Macaca fascicularis: one gene and its partners. The protein of the gene in region 1 purifies or fractionates together with the protein of each later gene. This does not show direct contact. Links are inferred from orthologs where the notes say so. Each region holds a gene or a part of one and is shown in the gene's direction. Other genes may lie near its edges.

Region 1 (4,098 bases):
GTTGAGGAGGGGAGGAAGGGGGTGGGGATCTCAGGAGAGGGAGAGAAAGCCGGCAGGAGTCGAGGTAGGCCTCTGGGGAGCGAGCTGCATAGCTTGCAGGGGCGCACCTGTGAGAGTGAGGGGTGAAGCCTAAAGCAGCAGCCCTGAGTGATGGCTCATGCGTGTAACCCCAGCACTTTGGGAGGCCAGGTGGGAGGATTGCTTGACTCCATGAGTTTGAGACCAGCCTGGGCAACATAGGGAGACGTCCTCCCACGTCCCTACAAAAAAAATTTTAAAACTGGCCGGGCGCGGTGGCTCACGCCTGTAACCCTAACACTTTGGGAAGCCGAGGCGGGAGGATCATTTGAGGTCAGGAGTTCGAGACCAGCCTGGCCAACGTGGTGAAACCCCGTCTCTACAAAACACACACACACACACACACACACACACACGGCCGGATGTGGTGGGCGCCTGCAGTCCCAGCCACTCGGGAGGCTGAGGCAGGACAATTGCTTGAACTCAGCGATTGAACTCGGGAGGCGGAGGTTTCAGTGAGCCAAGATCGCGCCACTGCACTCCAGCCTGGGTGACAGAACAAGACCTTGTCTCAGAAAAAAACAAAAAAGAAAGAAAAAGCAGCAGCCTTGATTTGAGAGGGAGGCCCCAGTGAGGCTTGAGATCAGGACTACGGAAGGCAGGGGGTGGAAGCAAGAAAAGGCAGGCCTATGGGAAAAGGGAATTAAGGGCGTAGGATTTGGAAGAGCGGCTTGGAGGATGTGGGCCTGAAATGAAAGGGGGGACTAAGGGAATAGGGAAGCGGGGCTCTGAGGCGGCGAGCCTTAGGGCACAGGGGCTCTCCGAAATGAGAGGCCAATGGGAGGGAGCTGGGCTCTTGGAAGGCGGTGTCGAAGGGAGCGAGGCACTGGCACTGAGCGAGGCACTGTAGAGTAAAGGAGGCGCGAGCTGAGTGCGGCGGGGGTCCGGCGGGTGACGTAGAACATCTCACCTGTCTTCGGCGTCGCGGTTTCAGCCTCTGTATCCGGTCAGCTCCGGGAACTGCCCCCGGCGCGCCTGCGGCTCCCGGGAACCCCGGAAACCCCTAGCCCGGAGCTCCAGCCGCTGCCTTGACAACGGCGTCGGATGCCGCGGTGCCCGCGGGGAGGAGCAGGAAGCGCGCCACGGCGAGGGGGCGGTCCCGGAAGTGCGTCAGTCTTACCTTCGCGGCCACAACTCGCTCGGCTGCCGCCATTTTGCGAGCTCGTCGTACTGTTCGAGCGGGGAGGCTGTCTTGAGGCGGCACTCCTCACCAACACCGAGGCGGACTGGCAGCCCTCAGCGTCGCAGTCATGCCGGCCGGACCCGTGCAGGCGGTGCCCCCGCCGCCGCCCGTGGCCACTGAGCCCAAACAGGTACCTCTCCCCCGCCCCTCAACCTGCAGCCGGAGCGTGGGCCTGGGCGCTACTTACTTGAGCGGGAATAAGCGGCCGCTATGAAGGGCTTGGAGGGACTGCAAATCCCAGGAGGCTGCGCGCTTCCCGCGCTATGGTGGTGGTTCTGGTAACGAAACCAGCTGCTCTGAACGGGGTTCTCAAAGTGGTCCGCGGAGCAGCCGCGTCGGCACGAGCCGAGAGCTTAGAAATGTGGAGTCTCCGCCCTAGACCTTTTAAATAGGGATCTTACATTTGAACAAAATCCTAAGGTGATTGATTTGTAAGTGTGAGAGGCGCTGATCCAGCCCATCCTCTGATCTTCTGTGGCAGTTGGGGCCACCGGCCCCAGCCTTTCCCCAGTAATGCCCACTTTCCCAGCCTGGGCGGTACATCTTTGGATGTTAATTCTCAGCATCTATTTCGGTGTCTGCCCCAAGCCAGACACCGTGCCACGCTCCCACGTTACCGGAATGAATAGGGCACGGGGAGCTCACAGGCTAACGAGAAGACAGATACACGAGAATGCTCACCAAATGTTTATTGTTCCGATGGCCGTCAATGATACAGTGTCAGCCCGCCCTTAATAAACCTCTCGAATCTCAAATGTGTATAAACCATTGTAGTACGGTGTGATATGCCCTGTGATAGAAGTTTCAGGTACAAATCTAGTCAACATTGCTTGCTGGAGTAGAAGGGATATTAAGGTAGGGAAGCCCACGGGAGTGAGAGGTAAATTTCTTTTAGAAGAAGGAATGGGAGTTTGCCAGGCAGGTGACTAGGGAAGGGAAATAACATCCTTTATTCATCCAGCAAATATTTATTGAGCATATATGCTGATCATTGCTTTGGGTTTGGAATGAGGGGGACATGACTGAAGAAGCCATGCCTTTTCCACAGATATTTAAGTACCTGTGTGTCCCTGGCATTTTCCCAGGCGTTGGGAGAAAATAAGGTAATGGCCAGATAATATGCACAAAGACACTGAGTTAAGAATCAAACGGTGTCTCTGATCAAGAGTAAATGAACAAGTGTTGAAGCATAGAGCGTGGTGACAGGAGATGCAATTCTTTCTTAGGATTTGAACGTTTCCTTGTAGACAATGGGAAGAAAAGGGAGAGTTTTAAGCCAAATAGTGACATTTGTGTTTCAGAAATTCAGGTAGGCAGGCATGTGGAGAGTCACTACGAGGAGGGGAGGCCAGTCACGCTATTCCAAGGGGCTGAAGGCCTGGCCTAGATTAGGGCAGAGGGGTGGGCAGGCTTTCCAGCCAGAGTGGTGTGTTAGAATTCTGGTTCTGCCAGTTGGACATTAAGCTCTCCATCTCTCAGTTTTGTCATCTGTAATGTGGAGATATTAAGAGTACTTGGCCGGCCCAGTGGCTCACGCGTGTAATTCCAGCACTTTAGGAGGCCGAGGCAGACAGATCACTTGAGGTCAGGAGTTTGAGACCAGCCTGGCCAACATGGCAAAACCCTGTCTCTACTAAAAGTAAAAAAAAATTAGCCAGGTGTGGTGCATGTTTGTAATCCCCACTATTCGGGAGAGAATTACTTGAACCTGGGAAGCGGAGGTTGCAGTGAGCCAAGATCATGCCACTGCACTCCAGCCTGGGCGACAGCAAGACAGAGTCTCAAAAAAAAAAAAAAAAGAGTACTTAATCTTATAGGCTTCTTATAAGAGTTATAAGAATTAGTATATTTAAAGTGCTTGGGAAAAATACCTGGAATCTACTCAGTGCTTGATAAAAGTTTTTTTTAAGAGACCGGGTGTCGTTCTGTCACCCAGGCTGGAATGCAAGTGTTGCAGTCGTAGCTTACTGAAGCCTTGAATTCCTGGGCTCAAGCAATCCTCCTACCTCAGCCTCCTGACTCACCGGGATTATAGGTGCAAGCCATTGTGCCCAACTTGATCAATGTTATTATTATTGAGTGTGGAAGCTGAGGAAGAGAGAGGAGCCCCAACTTTGTGGCATGGACGACTGAGTAGCTATTCCTGAGGAAAGAGGTTAGAGATGAAAGTGCCCAGTAGTTAGCTGGACCCGAAGCTGTTCAGTACGCAAGAGTGTTCTGGGACATCAGTTTGGGCCAGATTGTATAGAGGCAGGAGGGGAAGTGGAGGACACTGTCAAAACTGAGAAGAGAACCAAGAACAGAATTGGGCGGTGGGAGCGGGGATCTCCAACTTCACAGAGCAGGAGGTGAAACAGACCAGGAAGGAAACTTGGATGGAATGGTGAGCAAGATGGGAAGACAGGTAAGAATGGGGTCTAGGAGTTGAGAGTTTTCATGAAGGAGTGGTCACCATTCACACCCAGATAATGGCTGTGGGCAGTCGTTTTTGACTTTGTCAAGAGCACTTAAAATGAATGGGGACCAAATGGGAGGCAGGGAAGTGGGATCAGCAAACTGAAGAGAACTCAGGATGTTAAGCTGCCAGAGGATGGGGCGGGAGAAGGCAGCGGCAGAAAGGAACATGGAGGCAGAGGAGAAACTTCATTTTTCTAAGATAAGAGATTTGACCCTTTGTTTACTAAGGGGAAGAAGCTGCTGGAGAAAAAATATTGGTACTTATGGCATAGTTAATGCTGAACATTCCAGTGGAATTTCACAAAACACCTGAGCATTGAATGTTGGTTGACAGTGGAGTAGAGGCAAAGAGCGAGGGCATCCAGGGCAGAAGAATTTGT
Region 2 (3,645 bases), on another chromosome or scaffold:
CAAAAGGACTAGGTTTAGAGAGTTTGCGGATAGCTGCACACATGGAGGTTTCCGGAGGGTGGTGCGCCTGAGAGGGCCTGGCAGCGCCATACCCTTTCCCACATGATACCCTTTGCCACATGCCTGCCCTGTGCACCTCTTCCGTCTGTTGTCTGTTGGTAGGCATCTTTTGTAATATGCCTTACAGTAAAAGTAAGTGTGTCCCGATCTGTTCTAGCACAGTAGTTGAATCCCAAAAGGGGATTGTGGAAAGCTCGATTTGTAGCTGTACAGTGAGAAGCACAGGTCACACAACCTGTGCTTGTGATTGGCATCATGGAGTGGAAGGCAGGCTTGTGGGACTGAGTCCTCAGCCTGTGGGATCTGACTCTTATCTCCAGGTAGTTAGTGTTGGAACGGAATTGAATTTGAGGACACCAGCTTGTGTCCACTGCACAATTTTTGGATTGGTTGCTGGTGGGGAGGAATTGTCACAGAAGCCTTCTGTGTTAATTGTTGTAAAAGTATAGAAAAAACAAATTTGCTTTATTTCTTTTTTTTTTTTTGAGTTGGAGTCTCGCTCTGCTGCCCAGGCTGGAGTGCAGTGGCGCGATCTCGGCTCACTGCAGGCTCTGCCTCCCAGGTTCGTGCCATTCTCCTGCCTCAGCCTCCCGAGTAGCTGGGACTACAGGCGCCTGCCACCACATCCGGCTAATTTTTTGTATTTTTGGTAGAGATGGGGTTTCACCGTGTTAGCCAGGATGGTCTCGATCTCCTGACCTCGTGATCCACCCGCCTCGGCCTCCCAAAGTGCCGGGGTTACAGTTGCAAGCCACCACAGCCGGCCAAGTTTGCTTTATTTCTATATTCTCAGAGCGAGGCGGCCAGAGGATGAGACCGTGTGTCAGAAAAGGAGAGGGTCACAACTGGGAGGCTCCAGATGAACCTTGCCTCTGGATCCCCTTGTGGGATGTACTGGTCTGCAGAAGGGGCTTGTATTTACTGAGCACTCGATTTGTGTGGAACAGCACGTGTCTTTCTCTCACCCCCTCATGTAACTCCGTGAATAGGTGCTGTTAATACTCATTTTCCATTTTATAGAAGAGAGATGTGAGGCAAGAATAATTAAGTAATTTTCCCAAGTCACAGAAGTAGTATTTGGCAGAGCCAAGATACGATCCAGATAGTTTATATCTAGAATCTGTGTTCCTAACCGTTACACATGTGTGATTAGATTGGGGACCATTATGAGTCTGAGGAGCTCTGTTGATGTGGGTGCTAGAGGAAGTGAGGACAAAGAATTACAAAAGTGTGGCAGGCTAGAGGAGATCTGCCAAGTGACTGCCACCTGGAGATGTGGCAAGCTGTTGTGGAAGCTGTGTCCTGCTGCTTGAGGCCACCTAGCTAATCTTTTTAAAAACAGATGAGTCTTCCTTTAGTTGTGGCATTTTAAATCAGCATTAATGAGAAAGATCAGAGCCTAGTATGCAACAGGTTTTGAGAAAGTGTGGCTGTTTGCATCCTGCCGCCACATAAACCTGGTTGGTGATGTTCTGTCTGTCATCATTCTCAATATTGATTGGTTGTTTCTTGCTACCAGCCACGTGATATCCTTTGTGGGGCAGCTGATGAGGTTCTAGCTGTTCTAAAGAATGAAAAGCTGCGGGACAAGGAAAGGCGAAAGGAGATTGACCTGCTGCTGGGTCAAACAGATGATACCAGATACCACGTGCTAGTGAACTTGGGAAAAAAGATCACCGACTATGGTGGAGACAAGGAAATCCAAAATATGGGTAAGTGAGCTCTTTATGTCCTGATCATGTTAACTGGTTGTTGTTGACCCCTAAGTATGCATCTTCTAGCATCATTCATTTAAAAACCTTAGTGTCAGTGAGTTCCCATAATTTGTTGTGTGTTTTTTGAAGAGTTATAATTGATAGACACCAGAATCCCTAGATTTCAGCAGCTGTTCCTTACTCTGAGACCCTTTTGTTGTGTAGAATATGGGAGAAAATGTGGGCAGAGCCTTGGGGGCTCAAGTGGTTGAGCAAGCAGAGCTGGGCTGACTCCAGGGCTGGCAGGTGGAGAAGGTCTTGGCAGTGGCAGCATAGGTGGCTCTCTCGTGTTGATCATCTAAGTGCCTGTGTGTGTCCTTAGCACTTAGATCTTTCCTGAGGAGAGGTAGTTGGGGAGGACATTGGCTCCAGAGTGGCTTGTTTTACTAGCCATTCACTGCCCTCTTTTTCTAATCCTTCGTCGTTTCAGATGACAACATTGATGAGACATATGGTGTGAATGTGCAGTTTGAGTCTGATGAGGAGGTGAGTGATAAACAGGCCCAGTCCATTCTTGTTTTTGAAGTTGATGAAGGTAAAGGGACCCCTTGTAGTGTAAAGAAGCTCCCTAGTTTAAACCAGATACATTTTATGGTGGTGTGTGGGTTTCAGACTTAGGCATTATATGTTCTTTTGCTTAAAAAAAATGCAGTTATCTTTTAACTTTTCTACAGCAAATTTAAACTAACAAATGTAAAGCAACGTAATTATTTAAAATATACCAAGTGGATCAGCAAAAAGAAAGACAAAAGATAAAGTACAGTGAATACTTTGAGAATGTATCTGCTATGTTTTACTGCATTTTAAACGTATTACAATATTTTCCCTTTTTTCATTACTGTGTCCCCACTGCCTGTTTCAAAAGATTGCACATTTGCCTTAGAGCATGGCTGTAGTTCGTACATGGTTAAGTCACTGGAGTTAATGTTTACCGTCTAATAGAATTCCTTGAATATAAATAGGAATAAGTGGGGTACTTTGAAAAAATTACAGAGTGCCTTAGAGTTCTCAGTGAGTAGATTTGGCTCCTGAAAGGGAAAATGGATCCCTGGTATATATACCAGGGCTGGAAGAAGGGGTTGCATGGGGAGAGTTAGAGGACTAGGAGCCAAGACTTCTGAATTTGAGTCCTGTATCTTGGCAGGTCATTTTGCCTCAGTTTCTCTTTCTATAAAATGAGGCGATTTCAATAGGTGTTTGCTAAGCCACTTCCTACAGTATAGTTAATAGGATTTGATGATTTTAAGTAGCAACAAACTGCTTTGCTTGTAGCAGTTCATTCATTTAGCAGTGCTCGTTACTGAAGCACCTGCTTTGACTATGACACTGTGCCAAGTATGCCTAATGTGCAGTGTATGAGTAAATGGAGTGGTGAGCAAGCTTAGTGTGATCTCTTCATTCCCGAGTCACCATCTGCTTTCCCAGACGTGCCTCTGCATAGCTCTTCTCTTCTGTTAGCTGATCACTGTTTTTGAGTGTTGATTGTTTGTGTATTAGAAAAAGGCTATGGTCCAGTTGATTGCCATTGTGGCAGCCTAAGGTAAGAAACAGAAAGTAGGTGCATCTAATAAGTCTGTGCCAAGCAGTCTTTCTATTACATGTCCACTGGAATAAGGCTGACCTTGGTTCCAGTAGGCTCTCGGTTTCACCCCAAAGCCATTTCTCTAACCATTGAGCTAATTTAGGGTGACTTGAGGGAGAGGTTCTGTGGTGATGCAGGATCAGCTCCAGATAATGGTTGAGTTGGGGCCATTTCCACAGGAAGGTGATGAAGATGTGTACGGGGAGGTTCGAGAAGAGGCATCTGATGATGACATGGAAGGGGATGAGG
Region 3 (4,298 bases), on another chromosome or scaffold:
TGTGGAGAAGCGACTAGGGCAGAGCCTGGGTGGTGGGTGGGGCATGGAGACCCTACCGGTCCTTGTGCAGTTTCAGGAGCCTCTTCACGTCTTCTCTGCCCTTGGGAACTGGGCCAGCCTTCTCCAAGGCCTCCTTCAGGAGCTGGCTCTTCTCCAGGCCGAAGACATGAGGGGGAGCAGGCCCCGTGGCAGCGGGTGGAGGAGGCAGTGGGGGCGGTGGGGGAACAGCGGTCTGCTGACTCCAGGGAGGGGATGGTATAGCTAAAAAGTCCAGGGGACTTGGGGGTAGAGAAGGAGATGGAATGCTGCTGGCTTGGGGTACAGGGGTTCTTGGAGGAGGGATTGGTGGCTTTACGGGAGGAGAGCATGGAGAAGTCATTTTGGGGTCTACAGGAGGGGCTGAGAGGTTCAGAAGGTGGGGAGGGAAGGATCCTCCAACGGAGAACAGTCTCAGGGATGGAAATTTTAAAAATTTACGAGCTGAGTTCCAGAATCTGGGGGCTGAGCAGTGGGTGTGAAAGGACCACAGCTAATATTTGAAACCATGGGAGCAGGAATTGAGGGTGACTCAAGTCATAAGGCACCTGACAGTTAACAGGGTGGGGTCCTTAAATCCGGAACCGGATCTGTGGTACCGGTTGGGTTACCTTGGGAGTCTTAGGTGGACAGTCAGTAGGAGTTAACTCATTCTTTGGGGCTAGATGTGGAAACACATGAGTAAGTTTGGGATATGAAGGCTCAGACCTAAAGTGAGGTGCCTTAAGGGTGCGACTTAGGAGCCCAGGGCTAAAGATTCGGAGAACTTAGGTTCACTACCCCCTCACATCCCAGGCCCGAGTTTGGAACCTTTGGGCTGACCTTTGAGTCAGAGGTCAAGAGGTCAAAATGGACACCTGGCAGGAAAAATGGCCTAGTTGTGGAGAAGGTCCCGGAACCAGAGCAACAAAAACGTCTGTGGGTTGGAGAAGACTCCGAGATCAGAAGCCGGTGGGCGCCGTGATAACCGGTGGAAAAGGGAAGGGAGTCAGGAAGTAAGGTACACCTCCCACTCCCAGAAAATGGCGGCCCCCGCACACCGCTTTTCCCATATCACGGGGTATCACACGCAACAGTGCCCGCCCATTTGGCGATCACGTGACAGAAAACGCAGCGCTGGGGGGAAGAGGCGGGACTTCAAAAAGGATTGCCTCCGGAAGACATCACAGCGCCAGACGCGTCCCGATTGGCAAAATACTAGTGACCTTTACTGATTGGTCCGTAGACCCGGGAGTCACGGAAGGAGGTGGGCTTTCAGGGAGTCGGGCGGGGTTTTTCTACCTAGGCGGGAACTCAAATATCATTTTGATTGGCAAGAGCTGAGCCCAGAAACGAGACTTGCTCTGATTGGTCAAGCTACTGCGTTTCCGCGCGGAGATTGCCTGGCAGAAAGGCAGGGGCGGTGCCAGGAGAGAAAGCTTCGTGGTTTGGTCTCAGGAAAGTAGCAGGCGCCGCTTGAGAGAACTGCGGTCCTGTCGGAAGGTAACCTGGGGTGCAAACGACCATCGGCGGCGGGCGAGCGGTACGCTTGGCGTCCGGGCCTTCCTGGGCCCGTCTGAGGAAACTTGCTGCTCGAGGCCAGGCTGCCCAAGACCTGTCCCCTTTTTTCTATACTGGCTCCCACATCCGGGTTTTTCTCCAGGACGGCCCTTCGGATGCATGGGCCAATGGGAGTCGCCATTTAGGGCGCTCCGCCCACGGGGTCGCGTAGAGCATCCTGGAAGTCGTAGTAAATCTCTCGAGAGTTCCCTCTGCACGCGTGCTGGAGAAGCGGGTCCTACGCACGCTTTGTTGCCCGCGCTTTCCCTCGGTCCTTCCCCCTACTCCCGCCTTATCTGACTTCCTTTTGGGAGGAAGATCCTTGAGCAGCCAACGGTGGGACAAAGGATTTGGCGAAACCCAGGGCTAAAGTCACGTTTTTCCTCCTTTAAGCCTTACCTCAACACTTCACTCCATGGCAGTTCCCGAGACCCGCCCTAACCACACTATTTATATCAACAACCTCAATGAGAAGATCAAGAAGGATGGTGAGTTCTCGGGATAGTCCGGACTCCAGACTGTCCCGCACGGGCTGGTCCCTCTTCCACCCCCTGCATCCGCTTCTCTTTCTTAAGTGTTCCTCCAGCCAAACTTCGAGTTAACCCCTTGGCCTTTACACAAACTACTTCCTGTCTTCAACACTCCATTAGTTCATCTTACACTCTGCCCTTTAACCTGGTCACTGTTGCTCATCTTACAAGGTTTGAGGTCACAGGACCCTTCCTCCAGGAAGCCTTCCCTTGTCCCTTCACGTGGCTGCCGCTGACTTCCCATACGCTGAGGCCATCTCCCATCACGCCCTGATTCCTCTGAGCTGTCGTGGGGCTCTCTCTCCTCCCAGTGGCCTTTGAGCTCCGTGAGGGCAAGGACTGGGGCTTTCTTGGGTCACCGGCTTTTTCAGTGATCAGCTCACAATGAAAATGTACCGTAATGGTGGCTAACGCTCTGTATCATGGGTTAGTCTATGTGCTTTTATATAAATGTTGATTACATTTAGTTCTTACAACAAGCTTGTAGGAAGAAGGCTGTTGTTATTCCCATTCCTCAACTAACAAACTGAGGCAGGGCGCGGTGGCTCACCCCTGTAATGCCAGCACTTTAGGAGGCCGAGGTGGGCGGATCACCTGAGGTCGGGAGTTCGAGACCAGTCTGACCAACATGGAGAAACCCTGTCTCTACTGAAAATACAAAATTAGCCAGGCCTGATGGTGGCACGTGCCTGTAATCCCAGCTACTCTGGAGGCTAAGGCAGGAGAATCGCTTGAACCCGGGAGACGGAGGTTGCAGTGAGCCGAGATCACACCATTGCAGTACAGCCTGGGCAACAAGAGCGAAACTCCGTCTCAAAAAAGAAAGGAAAAGAAACTGAGACAGGGTGATGTGACTTGCCCAGGGTCACATAGCAAGTAAAGTGGTTGAAGCCACCGGTATAGAATTCTGCTTAAGAACCCAATTTTTGGCCGGGCGTGGTGGTTAAGCCTAACACTTTGGGTGGCAGAGGCAGGAGGATCACTTAAACACAGGAGTTCAAGATCAGCCTGGGCAACAAAGCGAGACCTTGTCTCTACAAAAAAAAAAAAAAAAAAAAAAGGCTGGGCGTGGGTGGGGTATGTCTGTGGTCCCAGCTACTCAGGAGGCTGAGGTGGGAGGATCGCTTGAGCTAGAGAGGTTGAGGCTGCAGTGGGCTATGATTGCACCACTGCACTACAGCCTGGGCAGAGCAAGAACCTATCTGAAAAAAGGAAAAAAAAAAAACTCAGTTATTGAAATGGGAAAGACCCTCTCACGTTCTCAAGTAAATTATCACCTTTATTGAATCTCATTTTCTACATGTAAAAACTGAGCAAAATCATAATACCTTTTTTGCATGGATGTTGGGTGAGATTAAATTAGCTAAACCTTGCAGTATTTCTTTTTTATGTTAACTGGCAGCTAGTAAGGGCTGGATAAATGTTAGCTCTTATCACTTCAAGAAAATTGTCAGGAGAACCGAAGGAGCTTACTGGGATTCAGTTTGAGGTCACCAGTGAAGTTGCTCTTGAAGAAAGCAAAACCAGCAGCCGGGGCACTGGCTCACGCCTGTCATCCCAGCACTTTGGGAGGCTGAGGTGGGAGATCGTGTGAGGTCAGGAGTTCAAGACCAGCCTGGCCAAGATGGTGAAACCCCGTGTCTACTAAAAATACTTTGGGAGGCTGAGGTGGGAGATCGTGTGAGGTCAGGAGTTCAAGACCAGCCTGGCCAAGATGGTGAAACCCCGTGTCTACTAAAAATCAGCTGGGTGTGGCGGCGCACATCTATAGTCCCAGCTACTTGGGAGGCTGAGGCAGGAGAATCACTTGAACCCTGGGAAGCAGAGGTTGCAGTGAGCTGAGACTGCACCACTGTACTCCAGCCTGGGTGATAGAGACTCTCAAAAAAAGATAAAATAAAATAAAACAAAACCAGGAATGTAAATTTTGCATATGCTTTTAGAGTGTGGTGCCTAACCATTATTGGGCAGTGCTGGGGACACACTGGTGACATAGAACGCTGGTTCTTTTTTTTTTTTTTTTTTTTTTTTTGAGACAGAGTCTCGCTCTGCCGCCCAGGCTGGAGTACAGTGGCCAGATCTCAGCTCACTGCAAGCTCCACCTCCCGGGTTCACGCCATTCTCCTGCCTCAGCCTCCTGAGTAGCTGGGACTACAGGCGCCCGCCACTGCGCCCGGCTAATTTTTTGTATTT
Region 4 (4,308 bases), on another chromosome or scaffold:
CACAGCCGGTGCCGGCTGCTCCTTTGCATGGATGGTAATGTCCATGCAGGTTTATGTTTGTCAACTGGCCGTTGCTGGGTGGGACTGTCTTACCGACACATAAAGCCTACAGAAGGCGCCAACTCGCGTTACAGGGCTGCTCCTGACACGACCAAAATCACCAGGGTGGAATTCACACTCCTCTTACATAACCATAACAAGTTGCTGGGATCACAGGCATGTACCACCATGTCCTGTTAATTTTTTTGTAGAGGCAGGGGTCTTGCTTTGTTGCCCAGGCTGGCCTCAAACTCCTGGAGGAGGTGGTACTCCAAGCTTGGCCTCCCAAAGTGCTAGGATTACAGGCGTGAGCCACAGGGCCACGTCTGTGGTACGTCTTCCAAGGACAGGAATCCTATCAGATCAGGATCCCACCCTTATAATCTCATTTAACCTTAATTCTCTAAAGGCCCTTTCTGCAAACACAGTCACATTGGGGATTACGGCTTCACATACAAATGTTAGGGGGACAGAACTCGGTCCATAGCATGGAGTCGCACAGTATTTGTCCTTTTGTGATTGGCTTGCTTTACTTAATATGTTTCCAAGGTTCACCCACGTTGTGGCACGGGTCTGAACTTCACTCTTCTGGATGGCTGACTCACATTCCACTGCATGGACAGGCCGCATTTTGTCTGTTCATCAGTTCCTCCACATCTCGCTCCCTTGTTTCCACCCTGGGGATATGGAGGAAGATGGGGTGGGCGAAGTCCTGTGACCCCCAGGACCAGCCACATCGTTGGCAGGGGACAGTGCAGGATGAAACCGTGGGCCCCTGGTCTTGGGCCGGGCCCTCCGTCTCTAGAGCAGCTCGCACCGCTGCAGCCCCTGGACGTCCCAGGCTGTGGACGCGCCCGGGGGACGCCGCGATGAGCAGGACACGGGACAGGTCCCCTTGCTGGCGCTGCTCGCGTTGAACCGCGCGGGGAGCTGGGCAGCCCATGGGAGAGGTAAGAATTGTTAGGCTTTTAATCTAAAGTCGATACCTGAAAAAATAATTCCGGAGCTAAGCATTTAATATCAACATTCAATAAAGCAGGAGATATCAGCCCGACGAAAACCGCTTTAAGTTTTCCGCGTTGAACTCGATCATCCCCCAGGGATGAAGAACCCACCAGCCGAGCCAGAGCCCCGTCACGTGACCCGGCGGCCACGGGGAGCCCTGTGCGCAGGCGCTGAGCCGGACTCCCGCTCCCGAGGAGCGAACTCCCTGTGGCGCCTGCGCTGTAGCGGGGGCTCAGCGGGCGCGCGCGCGTCCGGGCGCGCGCCGCGGGGGCGGAGCCGCGCGGAGGCCGGAAGGAAACTGGAGGGGGCGGGGCGAGGGAGGGAAGCCCGCCGGCCGTAGGACGACCGTCGCGGCCTGATGACGTCGCACAATGGCCGGCCCCCGCGGGTAGTGGAGCCCGTTTGTTCCGCCCGCGTCGAGCCTGGAGCCAGAGCCTGTGAGGAACGGAAGGGCCAAGGGACGTCTTCTCCACGCCGCTCCGACTCCAGCAGCGCCGTGGCCCCCTCTCCGTCCTAGCGCTGAGGTTAGCGGGGGCCGGGCGGGCGGCGGGAGGCCGGGCCGGCGGCGGCGGGAGGAGGAGGCCGCCGAGGCGGCGGCGGCGGCGGGAGTGAGGCCCGGGACCCTGGCGCGCCTCCGGCCGTGCGGACCCGCCGACCGAAGACTGGCCCTTGGGCCAAGGGAGGGGGACCTTGAGACAGGCACCACCCCGCGTTCCGTCCGTAAGCGGCCCCGCGGTCCTGGGGCGCCCTCAGCGCCTGAGCTCCTCGCGCGCTGCCTCCGCGCCCCGCGGCGGAGTTTATTTTCCTGAAGCTGTCATTTCTCTTCCGGGCCACTCGCGTGGCACATGTGTGCCGCCCGCTAAGGGGCGGTGAGAGGCGCCCAGGTTAACCTCCGGAATAGGTCAGCCCTTGCTGTTTCTGGGCTCTTCGGAGAACTTTGAGCTCTTCATGAGCCTCCTGGAACTTGCGCCGCAGCTTCAGAGTGTGCACAGGTTGGACGTGGTGATTGCCCCAAGACGCGCGCCGGTCTCTTAGGAGTATGTAACTTCCTTGCCCCTTGGATCAGGAGATCAGAGGTGCTGGGTCCTTTATATAAACTAACTGCAGATATAATGCTGGAAGAACCGAAACTTACAGCCTTGCTCCTGCCAAAAATTAAGTTTTCCTGACTACTTTGTGACAGCTGAGTTTGCCGGTTAGAGTGGCCGTTTTAAATGAGCTTTGTTCCGCTAACTCATTTGCAAGGGTAGGTCATTCTTCAGACCCGTTTGGGAAAATGGAAGAAGAGAGTGTTTGGCATCTGCAGTACCGTTTGGGGTGTAGCAAGGCGCTCGTCATTTCTCCTGAGACTCACTTCCAGCTTGTTGTCTGTAGAGTGGTCCTTTCCCGTTCAGTTGTTGAGATTCTCCTGGTGAGCCTTGACCTCGGCTGAATCCCGCTTCCCAGCCTTGGGAGGAGAGTCTTTGCCTGATAATTTTACTATCTAAGGGCAGTATGGAACCCAGCCAGCCCTGGAACCGGTCAAATGTGTCCCAAAGCCGGAAACTCCTCTCCCATTTTAGGTGGGACATGCTGAAATGTTGTAAGAAAGCTTTGTGGAGTCACTCCAGAAAGCAAACAGGTAAGTTAACCTGTGGCCTAGATCGTGTTTCAAGAGATTTGTATTTTGTCACGGCTACAGAGCATCTCAAGGTGAGTACCTCCTTATCAAGCAGTTTAGTGGTCAAGCTTGGTCAGTTTGCGAGTGGGGTCTGTCACCAACCTTGATAACTTTCATTTAGATATTGTAAGCCCGTGAGGTTATGAGTCAGAATTTTAACCAGATGTTCCAGAACTCAGGCATTCAAATAGGGACTGCTCTGTTGAAAATAACTGTCCCAAAATGTTGTGCTTGTATTTCATTGGTGCTTCTTTGCCAAAACCTCTTTAGAACTCCTGTTTTGGTAGTAAAAATGTAGTCATATGGGAAAATCAGTTTTATTCAGTAGTCACCCTCCAGGTTTGACCAAAAGTTGTCTTATGTGGTTGGTAACTTACCTTATCAGGTGAGACTCTGACTTGCAGCACTTATCAGAGACTAGCTTGAGAGGAGGAAGATTTGCCACCACGGAGAACACCAGAAGACTTCTTCAGGCTTGGAAGGTCATTCGAAATGAGAAGGTTCCCAAATGCTCTGCATTTCAGCAGTGCCATTGGAGTCTGTGCATCCTCCCAGAGGGACTGCTTGGAAGGGAGGTAGCACCTAGTCTTTATTATTACTATTATTTTTTGAGACGGAGTCTCACTCTGTTGCCCAGGCTGGAGTGCAGTGGCACGATCTTGGCTCACTGCAACCTCCTCCTCCTGGGCACTTATTTTCAATTCCTTTCTGGTAGGCAACAGGTAGTTCCTCAAGTAATGAGATTTTTGTCATGTATCAACAAATATTTATCAAGTATCATCTGCCAAATGCAGAAAGCAACAGAGTTGGGATGACGGGTACTTGTTACTTCATTCCTTAGGCAAGCTTACCCATCTGATGAATCGGAGGGCTAAGGATTTAGTTCTAAATCATGCTGAGAATCTTCAGTTATAGAGTGATAGTGTACGAAGACCAAACTGAGCACGAATTGCAAACATAGGTGTCAGTTGAGACTTGTCTGCTGACACCCGTGTCTACGCTTTTCATTTCATTGTCTACACTTACGAGGCTACGTTTCTTTTCCTGGCACCTTATTATTATTTTTTGAAATGGAGTGTCACTCTGTTGCCCAGGCTGGAGTGCAGTGGCACGATCTGGGCTCACTGTAACCTCCTCCTCCTGGGTTTGAGTGATTCTCTTGCCTCAGCCTCCTGAGTAGCTGGGACTACAGGCACGTGCCACCATGCCCAGCTAATTTTTGTATTTTTAGTAGAGACGGGGTTTCACTGTGTTTTGGCCAAGTTGGTCTCGAACTTCCGACCTCGTGATCCACCCGCCTCAGCCTCCCAAAGTGCTGGGATTACAGGCATGAGCCACCACACCCAGCCAATTGTGTGATTTTTTAAAACTAGTTTGAGGGGACGTTTAGTTTTGCATAAAAGTCAGTTTATTTAAGAGATCACTTTGTTTGCAAGGTTGACATTAGACTATAAAACATGAGAATCAGAATTTGTCACATTTCAGGTCTGGGTTCAGCTTGGGACATCCTGCTGGGTACCAGGTGCTCCACTTCGGCAGCTGGGGAGATGTAAACTACCTGCCCTTCTATGAGGAAGATGTTTATACATTGTCATAAAAATTGT
Region 5 (3,645 bases), on another chromosome or scaffold:
TTTGGGTTTGGGGCTGCAGGACAGTGGTTGGTTTAGCGCTTCCCAGTCGAGCTTTCCCTTGGACCTTAGGGAAATGAGAAATGTAAGAATGACATGGTGAATTTTTCATGACTAAATTACTCAAATCGAGGGCACTGTTTTCTTGCTTATGGGGTATTAATAGTTAGGTCTCATGAAATTGTATTGATAAAGATGGTAGTTATTTTTGCCTTGTGGCTTTTAATATCCTAACTAAACAAAAAATTGGTGAGTGAGTGATACGAAATTCTCTCCCTGCCCCAAATCTTTTGGAAAACTAACTTACCCTGGAAATCCATAAATGTGGGATGCACTGAAATACAGCCATGCAGCCCCTTCGAGTCCCCGTACTGCCCAGACCTGTGCCATACAGTACAGTAGCAATTAGCTACATGTGGCTACTTAAATTTCAATGAAATAGAATAAAAAATTCAGTCCCTCAATTATACTAGCTACATTCTTCCTTTGGTCCTGGAAATGGGAAAATTGCTCTCTGTTGCAGTTAGCCTTTTTACCACTAGATGGCGCGGACGCCTCCACAAGCCCTGATGATGTATGAGTTACGACTTGAATAGCGTTTACCATTGGCTGTTGTGGGCACCTTTGGGTGGGTAGGTGGTTCCAGGGAGGGCAGGGCTGAAAGGTGAAGCAATTGTTGGTAGTTTTGGGCATCCCCTGCCTCCTTTTATAACATTGTTTTGATCTGTGTCTCTTCTCTGACTCTGATACTCTGTCTTTGTTTTCCTTGTAGGACCTGGTGTTTTCTGCTTCCCCCGATGCCACTATCAGGATTTGGTCGGTCCCCAATGCCTCTTGTGTACAGGTGGTTCGGGCCCATGAGAGTGCTGTGACAGGCCTCAGCCTGCACGCCACTGGTGACTATCTCCTGAGCTCCTCCGATGATCAGGTGCGGTCCCAGCCAGTGCCCTGGAGAGGCTTGCTGGTCCCCAAGCTTGAACATCCTGGGTGGCGGGAACATCTTCCCACCCCAGCTGCTTCCCCAGAACCTCAAAGGAGAATGTTTCCTCTCTGCTGGGAGGTGCTAGGTTTGCCAGGGTTTACCAGACCAGGGGCTCTGTCTACCTGAAAGGCCACCAAAGCCTGGGACCCACTTTCTCACTGACTCCATTCTCTCTCTCTCTCTCTTTTTTTTTCCCCCCAGTACTGGGCTTTCTCTGACATCCAGACAGGGCGTGTGCTCACCAAGGTGACAGATGAGACCTCTGGCTGCTGTAAGTTGCCTCGTAGGCGCTCAGCCTTTTTGTTTGCTATTTATTATTTACTTTTACATTTTATTTAGTCGTTTGCTTATTTGTTCTAAAGATACATTTACCATCAGCACCTGCCTAGTGCAGGCTTTGTGCTGGGTGCACTGAGGACCGTGAAGAACAAGGAACCTAACTTTGCTGCTCTTAGTCTCTCCCTGGTGGGCTCTGACCACAGGTCCGTCTTCCTCCTCCACAGCTCTCACCTGTGCACAGTTCCACCCTGATGGACTCATCTTTGGCACAGGAACCATGGACTCTCAGATCAAGATCTGGGACTTGAAGGTAGGACACGGTGGGCTTCCATCTGAGGCCCAGGGCCAGAGCGGGTGTTTGTGACAACGTGGTGCTGATGAGGTGCTTGTGGCACCTGGCACTGAAGGGGCCATCGCTGGCTATGCCTGTGTGATATGATGGTGTGGTCTGCGGGGTCCCGCTGGCTGGCCTTCCTGGAAGGACAGTGAGGGACATCTCAGGTAGGGGTTTGGTGAGCTCCATTTTCTTCCTCTCATGATCTGTGGGTGACGTGTTTTACTACCCACCACCACTGTAGGAACGTACTAATGTGGCCAACTTCCCTGGCCACTCGGGCCCCATCACTAGCATCGCCTTCTCTGAGAATGGTTACTACCTGGCTACAGCGGCTGATGACTCCTCTGTCAAGCTATGGGATCTGCGCAAGCTTAAGAACTTTAAGACATTGCAGCTGGATAACAACTTCGAGGTATGCCCTTCCCCCGCCCCACCCAGCTTTCCATTGTGTCTCCTTGTTTGTCGATTATTTATTGAATTAATCTAATTGCTTCTGCTTATCCGCAATTGCCCCATAGTTTCTGTTCCCCTTGTGTGACCTTCTCTCTTTCTGTTTCTGGCAGGTAAAGTCACTGATCTTTGACCAGAGTGGTACCTACCTAGCCCTTGGGGGCACGGATGTCCAGATCTACATCTGCAAACAATGGACGGAGATTCTTCACTTTACAGGTAGAGGCTGGTCCTGGGCTCCTGGGGTCTCTAGGTGCCCAGGCCCGGAGGGAAGCCTCACTGGGTTAGGAATTTCTAGGACTTGCATGAATTTACCTAAGCAGCTTTCGGTTACCACCTGAGGCAGAGCTTTATGGCTAAGGAAGCAGACTGAGTCAGACTGCGTGGCAGTGGATGCTAGTAGTCGCTCTGCCACTTCATGCCGTGTGGCATTGGGCAGGTTACTGAAGGGAGAGAAAACTCCTCCCTCTGAAGGTTTGATAACTGAATCTGAAATCAATGAACATTAGGCAGAGTGACAGGAGGAAAGCCATTTTAATGACGTGCATATGCATGGGAGGCCCACATTATATTAGACCTGCAGAAAGGTCAGATGATTGAAGCTTATACAGTCTATATATCCTTTAATAATGGGGATATGTTCTGAGAAATGTCTTATTAGGTGATTTCATCATGTGTGACCATTGTAGGGTGAACTCACACGTATCTGAATGGTGTAGCCTGCTACACACCAAGGCTGTTGCTATAACCTTAGTGTAGTCTATTACTGCTCCTGGGCTGCAAACCGGTACAGCATATTACATGTAGTGAGTACAGTTATAACACAGTGGTGAGTATATGTGTATCTAAACCAATCTAAACATAGAAAAGGTTCAGTAAAAATAAGGTAGAAGAGATTTTTTAAAAATGGTACACTGGTATATTGCTTGCCATGAATGGAGCTTGCAGGACTGGAAGTTGCGTTCAGTGAGTGAGTTGTGAGTGAATGTGAAGGCCTAGGACATTACTGTACACTGCTGTGGACTTCATAAACACAGTGCATTTAGGTTTTACTAAATTCATAAATAGCTTTTTCTTCAGTAATAAGCCTTAACTGACTTTTACTTTATAAACTTAAAAAAATGGATTATTTTGTAATAACATTTAGCTTAAAACAAAAACACATTGTACAGCTGTACAAAAATATTGTCTCTCTACATTCTTATTCTATAAGCTTTTTTCTGTTTTCTAATTTTTTTAATTTTTATTTTTTACTTTTTAAACTTTTCTTATTAAAAACTAAGACACAAGCACACATTACCCTAGACCTACACAGGATCAGGATCACCAACTGTGTTAGTCCGTTCTCACACTGCTGTGAAGAACTGCCTGGGTAATTTATAAGGGAAAGAGGTTTAATTGACTCCCAGTGACTGGGGAGGCCTCAGGAAACTTACAGTCATAGCAGAAGGGAAAGCAAACACATCTTTCTTCACATGGTGACAGGGGAGACAAATGCTGAACAAAGGGGGTAAAGCCCCTCATAAAACCATCAGATCTCGTGAGAACTCACTATCATGAGAACAGCATGGGGGTAACCACCCCCATGATTCAATTACTT
Region 6 (4,284 bases), on another chromosome or scaffold:
TGAGCCACTGCACCTGGCCTAAAATTTTCACCTGAAACCCATCCCAGATACAAGCATCCAGCCTCCTCCATCCCTCTGGCAGGAAGAAGATGAGATCACTTACCTTCTCAGGTGTCCACAGCTCCCTCTGTAAGGAAAAGTCACAACTGGGACACAAGCCAAGAGCCTCCAGAGCCCCACACCAGGGTAGGGTCAGCTCATGGGAGGCAGACATTGGCCCCCAGCAGATTGGTGCCCCGCACCCTCTCCCACCCCTGGAGTGAACCCTCGAACACTCCTCTTATGCCCACCTTGCGCTGTATGACGTAGCCCTCAAACCACTCGGCCTGATTGGAAACCCAGAACATAGCCACAGGGAAAGTGAGGTAGAGTATCATCTGGAATGGCAGAGGGTGGGTGAGGTGACCGCCCCCCTCGCCCCAAGCAATGTGCAGAGGCTGCTCAGAGCCTGGGGGACCCATCCTACTGCAGAGTCCAGAAGCGCCTCGTTAGGGCCGACCCAAGAACCCCAGAACTCCCACCAAGGGTACAGAAACCTCGCATCCTAAAACCTAACTTCTATAATCCAGGAGGCTTCATTCCTGAAAGTCCCCCCTGAGCTGGAGTCTTTCTCTCAAAGACAGACAGACATACAGAGGCCCGAGCTACAATCAAAAGCATCTCCTCGAGACCTCATTACTCATCCCCACTTAAGATCCCGGGAGCACCCCCAAACCCAGGAGGCGTCACTCTTCAACTTCACTTCTCGAAGTCTGGGAGTCTCCCTATCATAGACACCCACCCACCACAAGCCCGAGAGCTCCCCCAGGATCTTAAGTCTTCCTTCTTTAGAGCCCCCTTCTCAGCCAACCCCTCTCTGAGGTCTTTCCTCGGACCAGCCCTCTCACAGCCCCCAAACCCAGAAGCCCAAATCTGAGAACCCCCCCACCCCACAACCCAGCGTCCCCTCTCCTGGATTTCCAACCAGAAAGGTCCCTCTCAAATCTTAAGAGCTTTCTCCTTGGAGCACCCTCTTTCTTTTAAGACCCCCATTTCCAGCCTCATCTTCAGATCCAGGAAGATCCCCTGCTCAGCCTCCCAATCCACTCCTGTGTCCACTGACCCGAAATATCTCCAGCTTCACCCCCATCTCGTTTCTCCCGGTCAACAAAGCAACTTCCGCCCAAAGCCGACCCTCCAGCAAGACAGAAGCTCATTGGTGTTTTGCACGCTCCATTGCTGAAGCTGATTGGCCAATGTGTATCCTGATGACGTAATTCGGGCGTCTCTATGTTGCTTCCGGTCGCTGGCGTCTTCGAAACGAAGTCAATAACGTGAGCCTGTCCGTCAAAAAGGATTTAACCAATAGAAAACGGGTCTGGCCCGGAGGGGCGGGCCGTCAGTGGTAGATGTCATAAGCGCGCGACTCTCGCCTGTACCTGGGCATCCAGGAAAATGGTGGTGATGGCGCGACTCTCGCGGCCCGAGCGGCCGGACCTTGTCTTCGTGAGTCCACAAAGGAGCCAGGGGTGGCCTGCGTTGGGGCATTGGGACCTGGACGCCGCAGGGGATCGGGGCCGGGTCGCCAAGGGGATTTAGGCCAAAATTGCCAGGCCAAGGATTGGGGACCCTAACGGGCCAGAGACCGGATTGTGATGTCCACACCTAACTGGCCAGGAGTAAAAAATACGGTGTTGTGTCTTAGGGTATGAGTAGAAAACTACTGTCGAAGGAAAGCGTCTAGCCTCCCGAGCCAGGGGCGGAAATGGGGGCTTGCAGGGAATGGGAGAGGAAGGAGACCGCATAATTGAACGTTGAGAAGTGAAGACCGGTGTCTGAAGTAAAGGCGTGATTACGAGGCCAGGGCTCCGGTTTCTGGAATGAAGGCTTGGTTTTCTAGATAGCGGTCTCTAGGTCTGGACTGCGGCATGACAGTTTCTGGGGGTGGTGGCCAGGCTAGAAGAACCCTGGTGTTGTGGAGCTTGTCAGGCAATGGCCAATGAAATGCTTATTGTCTGGAGTAGAGGCGTGACATCTTCACCAGATTCTTGGTGTGCAGAGTTAAAGGCTTGGCTTCTGGTGTATAACTGCTCTTATGAGATAAAGTCCTAGCTTTTAACTTCTGGGGCAGAGTTGAGCTAGATGCTGGCTAGTGGGATCCTGGGGGTGGGGCCAGTGGCTTGAAATCTGGACCTGAGAGCCCTGGTGGCTGGGGTGAAGATCTGGTCGTCTGGGCCTGGAGTGGAGATGGGTCAGTTGGTGACAGTGGGAGCCTGAGGGGCCAAAGGCCTGGTGTCTGGGAAGAGGCATGTTTTGAAGAAGTGGGGTCTGGTGTCCAGGACAGAGGCCTGGCATCTGGGCCAGGGCCTTGGTAGCTAAGGAGTCTGACCATTTGGGGCAGAAAGCGAGTGGTGATGTGGACTCATGCCTGGCCCAGAGCCCTAATAACTGAGAAGTCTGATGATTTGGGTTCAATTTTGGGTAGTTGAATTCTGAGGGGTAAAGGTCTGGGCCAGTGTCTTGGTGTCTGGGCATCTGGTTTGGTGCCTGGTTTGGTGCCTGGGCATCTGGTGACCTGACTTCCTTGGTGGGTGGTGGGATCTGGGTAAAAGTCCAGAGTTTGGACCTGAGCCCCAGTAGTGGGGTGGTGCCGCACGCAGGCTCTGAGGGTAGACCTCTCTTCTCCCCATTCCCTGGCCCTGGCAGGAGGAAGAGGACCTCCCCTATGAGGAGGAAATCATGCGGAACCAGTTCTCTGTCAAATGCTGGCTTCGCTACATCGAGTTCAAACAGGGCGCCCCGAAGCCCAGGCTCAATCAGCTATATGAGCGGGCACTCAAGCTGCTACCTTGCAGGTGGGAATGGCTCCAGCTGCCCTGCCCACCAGCCCCTGCCCCCCCGGTCCAGTTATAACAAAACTGCCAAGTAGGTCCCAGGTGATTGCTTTGTGTCCCATCACTGACCTGTACATCCCTTGATGGGTCAGCACACCTCCTCTGATGTCCCAGTCTGTCCCTGTCATTGCTGAGACATGTCACCCCCCCCACACCCACATTTGCCAACAGGGGCAGGGCAGATGGTTCTGGGGGGGGGGTCCATAAAGCTGACCGATCAGCATCTGTCCCCTCCTGTTCCCCAGCTACAAACTCTGGTACCGATACCTGAAGGCACGTCGGGCACAGGTGAAGCATCGCTGTGTGACCGACCCCGCCTACGAAGATGTCAACAACTGCCATGAGAGGGCCTTTGTGTTCATGCACAAGGTTTGGGGCTAGGCGAGGGGATAAATCGGGAGGGGGGGCTCAGTCCATGGTGGTGGGTGGGGTAGCGACAGGGGCTGGGCTCAGCATGTTAGGGATGGGGGCCTGGAATCCTGTTGCTTCTGTGCATGGGAAGTTGGGCTGGACTCAGTCCTGGAGCTGGGGGTTTCTGGGTCCTGCTGCATTTATGTGGAGGCCCCAGGTGTGACTCAGCCACAGGACATCAAGTGTCTGTGGGTAGGCCATGGAGTCCGTGGCTTAGCCCCAGCCGCCTCTCCCCACACCCCCAGATGCCCCGTCTGTGGCTAGATTACTGCCAGTTCCTCATGGACCAGGGGCGCGTCACACACACCCGCCGCACCTTCGACCGTGCCCTCCGGGCACTGCCCATCACGCAGCACTCTCGAATTTGGCCCCTGTATCTGCGCTTCCTGCGCTCACACCCACTGCCCGAGACAGCTGTGCGAGGCTATCGGCGCTTCCTCAAGGTGAGCCCAGCAGGTACGCTGGTTCCCCAGGTTAGTTTCCAGAAACTGCCTCACTGTGACACTAGCTCGGTATAGGATGTCACCCAGCAGACTGGATGTGGGAAGAGGCACCAGGAGATGCATATGTCTTGTCCGTGATTCATGTCTTTATTTTCCAAATAGTTTGCTCACGCCAGTTTCACATTAGGCATAGAGATGGGTGCTGAGGACAGTGTGGCTAAGACACTCCCTACCTGCATGGAGCTTTTAGTCTAACTAGGAAGACGGATGTATGTGAGCTGATGGCATGAACTAGAGTAAAACCACAGCCATGATGAGGGCCAGGAATAGGAGGTGGGGAGAAGCAGGCAGGGTGGAGAGTGGAAGCATCAGCTGGGCGGGAGTGGGGCATGGTTTGCTCAAACTTACAGTATCTGTTCTGTGACATTTGGATTCTAAGCTGGACCAGTCAGGACTGAGGCTGGACCCATGGGACCCAGGCTGGACACTATAGTCAAGGCTGGACCCATGGGATCAAGGCTGACCCAAAAGGGCCAAGGCTAGACCAGTCAGGACTG
Region 7 (4,294 bases), on another chromosome or scaffold:
CCTAACACATACTCATATCCCAACACACGCTCACATCCTAACACATGTTGAGTTGTGCAAGGCAGGGAGCCACAGACTGAGCAACCCTTGGGTGAGGGGAGGGGTTTCAGGACCGATTGGGATTGTGCGCAATGGGCTTTTTTTTTTTTTTTTTTTTTTTTGAGACGGAGTCTCGCTCTGCTGCCCAGGCTGGAGTGCAGTGGCGTGATCTCGGCTCACTGCAAGCTCCGCCTCCCGGGTTCACGCCATTCTCCTGCCTCAGCCTCCTGAGTACCTGGGACTACAGGCGCGCGCCACCACACCCAGCTAATTTTTGTATTTTTAGTAGAGACGGGGTTTTACCATATTGGCCAGGATGGTCTCGATCTCTTGACCTTGTGATTCGCCTGCCTCGGCCTCCCAAAGTGCTAGGATTACAGGCGTGAGCCACCGCGCCCGGCCTGCACTGGGGTTTTAAGTCCCAGTAGTTTTTTTAGGGCTCCTCTCCTCAAGAAAAAAACTCATACACACAGATGTGCCACATTTTGCATTCAATTTCAGGGGTTCCAAGGATACACTGACGCTCATGTGGCGCTCCTTCAGTCTTAACAGTTCACGGGGCGCGGGTTTAAAAAATCCAATCCAGGGCTGGGCGCAGGGGCGCATGCCTGTAATCTCAGCATTTCGGGAGGCCAAGGCGGGTGGATAGCCTGGCTTCAGGAGTTCGAGACACCCCCCGCCCATCTACAAAAAAATACAAAAATTAAAGGGGCGTGGTAGCGTTCATTCGTAGTAGTCCCAGCTAGTGGGAAGGCTGAGGGGGTAGGATCACTTGAGCGCGGGAGGTCGAGGCTGCAGTGCGCCGTGATCGCGCCACTGCACTCCAGCCTGAGCAACAAAGTGAGATCCTATCTCAAGGGAAAAAAACAAAACAAAAAAACCAGGGAACGTGGGAAGGAAGCGTTCCCTAACGATACTAGTTATAGCGGGTCGGAAACTGGGCTATGGAATTTGAGATAACGGGAAAACAACACCCGTTGAAGCCACGACCCTAGGAGTCCACTAAGCGAGCGCCCATTGTAGGAGGGAGGTGTCTACGGAAAGGCCGTGAGGTAGTGAACACCCCGTTGTCGGTGAAGTGCAAGCGCAGGGATGCCGGGGAGGAACTTCCAGCCACGAAGACACTGGCTTAATGCCCTCTAAGTCCTTCCAGTTCTGGGATCCCATCTCCGGGTTAATTCCGCTTCCCTTGAGTAGCGAATGCACAACGGGACCACTGGCTCAAAGAACCCACCCGACCCGCGACGGCGCGAATGTGCAGTGGAGCAGTGATCCCGGTCTTCCCATGAGCCTCTGGGGCCGGCTCCAGGGCGAGCGACGGAAGCAGCCGCTCTTAGTTTCCGGCAACACGACAGCGGCTGCCGAGCGACCCGGAAGTATTCCCATTTTGCGTTGTCTGGGCTCGGCGGTAGCCGGGCTTGGAGTGGACGTGCCACTATGGGGTCGTCCAAGAAGCACCGCGGAGAGAAGGAGGCGACCGGGACGACGGCGGCGGCCGGCACCGGGGGCGCCACCGAGCAGCCGCCGCGGCACCGGGAACACAAAAAACACAAGCACCGGAGTGGCGGCAGTGGCGGTAGCGGTGGCGAACGACGGAAGCGGAGCCGGGAACGTGGGGGCGAGCGCGGGAGCGGGCGGCGCGGGGCCGAAGCTGAGGCCCGGAGCAGCACGCACGGGCGGGAGCGCAGCCAGGCAGAGCCCTCGGAGCGGCGTGTGAAGCGGGAGAAACGCGATGACGGCTATGAGGCCGGTGAGGAGGCGGGGCCTGCGCAGGGGGCGGGTCGGGCAGGGGTCCCAGAACGTGCGGGTCTGGGTGTGCGCACAGTGTCAGCAAAGCTCTCCGGATCGGGAAACCCCCAGACTGTCTATATCAACTCTTATTAAATAGTCTTTCTACGGGATCCCATGAGCCCAGGAGTTAGAGGCTGCAGTGTGCTGCGATCCCGCCAGTGCACTGCAGCCTGGGCAACAAAGCGAGACTCTGTCTCAAAAAAGCTTTTCTACGATTGTTTGGGATTAGAGGTAGACTGTCTCCACCTGGCTCCTTGAGGATAGAGAGCTTCGGTTTTTCTCAGTTGTCTGGTACAGTCACAGATTCTCAATAAATGTGTTGAATGAATGAATGAAATAGTGTCAGCATATGCAGAGGCAAGAAAAACCTGGTATTTGACGAATCGTATTGGACGAATCGTGTAGGGCTCCTGGTAGAGAAATGAAGGAGTAAGATAGGCAGGGATGTGAACGCAAAGGACCCTGTACTGTAGGCTCTGTTAAGAAATGTAGATTGTCTTGACAAGGTAGTAGGGAGCCTTGGCTGTGAGTTGAGGAGTGAGTTGCTCAGATCCGTATTTTGTAAACATTACTGGATTGAGAACTTAGTCAAAGGTAGTCAGGATTGGAGACCAGGAAATCAGGAGGGCTACAGACCAGGTGAGGGCTGATGGTGGCCTGCACCAAGGCAGCAGCAGTGGAGTGGAGAGAAGTGGACAGGTTGGAGAGGTGTTTTAGAGGAGGAATGAACAGAACTCAGTACTTGTATGAGGGTGGGAAGGAGAAGGAATTGAGGATGACTCCTTGAATTTTGGCTTGAGCAGCCAGATAGGTAGTGGGTGTCATTTCTACTGAAATTGAGGAGTAGGGAAGAGAAGGAGATTTGGAGCAGGGTGGGGGAAGATAATTCACTTTTGGGGTTGTCAAGGTTTATGTGCATAGGGAAATCCAGAGTTTGGACTGGATAAAGCCATTGGGAGTCAGTATCTGGGTGGCCAGTGAAGCCCGCGAAAGAATGCGACATGAGAAGCCGGGGTCAGGAATAGAACCTGAGAAATGCCCTTATGTTAGTAGTAGGCAGAGAAAGATGTTACCAAAAAAAGGAGATAGAGTAACCAAAGAGGCAGGAAAACCTTTGTGTCATGGGAACTTTGGAAATAGAGTATTGTTAGAAGGAGGGAGTGATCAGCAGTCCCATATACCACAGGAGATCAAGGAAAACCAGAACTGAAAAGAACCCGTTAGATTAGAAATGAAGGAGACTGGTGACTTTGGGGAGCCTGGAGAGATTGGGATCCAGGGCCCAGGTGGAGAGTGGAGCCTTTAAGATACAGGATGGGAATGCAGGAAAGGAAGAGGTGTTTTTTTTTTTTTTGAGACAAAGTCTTGCTCCATCTCTTTAAGAGACCTTGTCTCTTAAAAAAAAAAAATGAAAGAAAAAAGGAGAGGGCAGAATGGTGACTGTAGCAGTTTGGATCTCTTGGGTCAGGATAGGAAGGTGCGCAGAAGAGGCAGGGCTCTGAGACTGGACTCGGGCAGAGGAGCTGCTGGGGAGCTTGGGTGGAAGAAGCTGCTGTTTTCTGGTGTTTCATCAGGCCCAGGTGCTGGTGAGGGGCCCTCATCTTTGATCCTGCAGTTGGAGGCAATGATGCTGGCTTGTTGGCCCTATGTTCAGCTCCTGAGCCATGCTTCTTCTTCTTCCAGCTGCCAGCTCCAAAACTAGCTCAGGCGATGCCTCCTCACTCAGCATTGAGGAGACCAAGTGAGTACTGTCTCCCTTGTTTCCACTTTGTTTTTCTAAGATAGGTGGCTCTAGGGCCAGCCCTGGGGAGGCTTTCTCACATGAAAGTGTGCTAATTGGAGTTGGAAAGGTTGTATAGATCATTTTAGCCAACAGTAGAGTTATAGAAGAGGAAACTAATACCTAAGAGTAAAGTGGCATTCACCGGTTAGATGCAGACCAGGCTGGCGCCCATGTTTCCTGCTTTGGAGGCCAGGGCCCTTCCCAGTGTCCTAGGCTTCCTGGGGCAGACCGTGTGTTTGGGACCGCTCACTCCCACCCTGTTTCTTCTCCTGTCTGTTTGGAAATGCACATGGCGCCCTGTGTCTTTGATAGCCCCTAACACTTGTATCCTTTGATAGCCCCTAACACTTGTATCTCTTGTTCTCAGTAAACTCCGGGCAAAGTTGGGGCTGAAACCCTTGGAGGTCAATGCCATCAAGAAGGGTGAGTATGGGGCTGAGGATGGGGTTTGGGGGAGAGGGCCATCTGAAGGGGTCTTTGAAGAAGGTGGGATTAGAGGGCAGGTTCAGCACGGTTTAGTGGTCTTACACATGCATATTTGCCGGAAGGCACGAGGTCCCTTCTTGCTGTTCTAATGTGGACCTGGGGCTCTGCTTGTTTTCTGAGTTAGAGCCGTGGCCTTCGCATACTCACTCTGGCTGTGAGGTGTTGTTAGATGGACTGGAAGATGTGCACGCTTGC

The links.
Region 2: the proteins of SF3A1 (region 1) and SNRNP200 fractionate together in Homo sapiens (co-fractionation; 3 studies listed by BioGRID and IntAct, with this or other methods). This does not show direct contact. The link is inferred for Macaca fascicularis from reciprocal best matches to the Homo sapiens genes SF3A1 and SNRNP200.
Region 3: the proteins of SF3A1 (region 1) and SNRPA fractionate together in Homo sapiens (co-fractionation; 3 studies listed by BioGRID and IntAct, with this or other methods). This does not show direct contact. The link is inferred for Macaca fascicularis from reciprocal best matches to the Homo sapiens genes SF3A1 and SNRPA.
Region 4: the proteins of SF3A1 (region 1) and ZC3H18 purify together in Homo sapiens (affinity purification with mass spectrometry; 3 studies listed by BioGRID and IntAct, with this or other methods). This does not show direct contact. The link is inferred for Macaca fascicularis from reciprocal best matches to the Homo sapiens genes SF3A1 and ZC3H18.
Region 5: the proteins of SF3A1 (region 1) and PRPF19 fractionate together in Homo sapiens (co-fractionation; 3 studies listed by BioGRID and IntAct, with this or other methods). This does not show direct contact. The link is inferred for Macaca fascicularis from reciprocal best matches to the Homo sapiens genes SF3A1 and PRPF19.
Region 6: the proteins of SF3A1 (region 1) and XAB2 fractionate together in Homo sapiens (co-fractionation; 3 studies listed by BioGRID and IntAct, with this or other methods). This does not show direct contact. The link is inferred for Macaca fascicularis from reciprocal best matches to the Homo sapiens genes SF3A1 and XAB2.
Region 7: the proteins of SF3A1 (region 1) and SART1 fractionate together in Homo sapiens (co-fractionation; 3 studies listed by BioGRID and IntAct, with this or other methods). This does not show direct contact. The link is inferred for Macaca fascicularis from reciprocal best matches to the Homo sapiens genes SF3A1 and SART1.

The regions. Positions count from the first base shown.
Region 1 is NC_088384.1:21,310,773-21,314,870, forward strand, and holds the start of SF3A1 (splicing factor 3A subunit 1), read left to right. Parts: upstream 1-1,236; 5' UTR 1,237-1,328; coding exon 1,329-1,391; exon of another isoform or gene 1,392-1,473; intron 1,474-4,098. UniProt on the Homo sapiens protein: Component of the 17S U2 SnRNP complex of the spliceosome, a large ribonucleoprotein complex that removes introns from transcribed pre-mRNAs.
Region 2 is NC_088387.1:1,383,523-1,387,167, reverse strand, and holds part of SNRNP200 (U5 small nuclear ribonucleoprotein 200 kDa helicase), read left to right. Parts: intron 1-1,579; coding exon 1,580-1,772; intron 1,773-2,244; coding exon 2,245-2,300; intron 2,301-3,575; coding exon 3,576-3,645. UniProt on the Homo sapiens protein: Catalyzes the ATP-dependent unwinding of U4/U6 RNA duplices, an essential step in the assembly of a catalytically active spliceosome. Plays a role in pre-mRNA splicing as a core component of precatalytic, catalytic and postcatalytic spliceosomal complexes.
Region 3 is NC_088393.1:47,864,422-47,868,719, forward strand, and holds the start of SNRPA (U1 small nuclear ribonucleoprotein A), read left to right. Parts: upstream 1-1,447; 5' UTR 1,448-1,558; intron 1,559-1,968; 5' UTR 1,969-1,990; coding exon 1,991-2,063; intron 2,064-4,298. Other genes in the region: ACTMAP (actin maturation protease), read right to left, coding at 57-379. UniProt on the Homo sapiens protein: Component of the spliceosomal U1 snRNP, which is essential for recognition of the pre-mRNA 5' splice-site and the subsequent assembly of the spliceosome. U1 snRNP is the first snRNP to interact with pre-mRNA.
Region 4 is NC_088394.1:84,469,443-84,473,750, forward strand, and holds the start of ZC3H18 (zinc finger CCCH domain-containing protein 18), read left to right. Parts: upstream 1-1,404; 5' UTR 1,405-1,568; intron 1,569-4,308.
Region 5 is NC_088388.1:13,374,830-13,378,474, forward strand, and holds part of PRPF19 (pre-mRNA-processing factor 19), read left to right. Parts: intron 1-769; coding exon 770-925; intron 926-1,180; coding exon 1,181-1,250; intron 1,251-1,482; coding exon 1,483-1,568; intron 1,569-1,836; coding exon 1,837-2,007; intron 2,008-2,158; coding exon 2,159-2,264; intron 2,265-3,645. UniProt on the Homo sapiens protein: Ubiquitin-protein ligase which is a core component of several complexes mainly involved pre-mRNA splicing and DNA repair. Required for pre-mRNA splicing as component of the spliceosome.
Region 6 is NC_088393.1:8,365,642-8,369,925, reverse strand, and holds the start of XAB2 (pre-mRNA-splicing factor SYF1), read left to right. Parts: upstream 1-1,410; 5' UTR 1,411-1,434; coding exon 1,435-1,485; intron 1,486-2,685; coding exon 2,686-2,834; intron 2,835-3,118; coding exon 3,119-3,242; intron 3,243-3,529; coding exon 3,530-3,727; intron 3,728-4,284. Other genes in the region: protein PET100 homolog, mitochondrial, read right to left, coding at 104-127, 291-377, 1,103-1,129. UniProt on the Homo sapiens protein: Involved in pre-mRNA splicing as component of the spliceosome. Involved in transcription-coupled repair (TCR), transcription and pre-mRNA splicing.
Region 7 is NC_088388.1:8,433,633-8,437,926, reverse strand, and holds the start of SART1 (U4/U6.U5 tri-snRNP-associated protein 1), read left to right. Parts: upstream 1-1,417; 5' UTR 1,418-1,476; coding exon 1,477-1,789; intron 1,790-3,404; exon of another isoform or gene 3,405-3,494; coding exon of another isoform or gene 3,495-3,513; coding exon 3,514-3,571; intron 3,572-3,980; coding exon 3,981-4,036; intron 4,037-4,294. UniProt on the Homo sapiens protein: Plays a role in mRNA splicing as a component of the U4/U6-U5 tri-snRNP, one of the building blocks of the spliceosome. May also bind to DNA.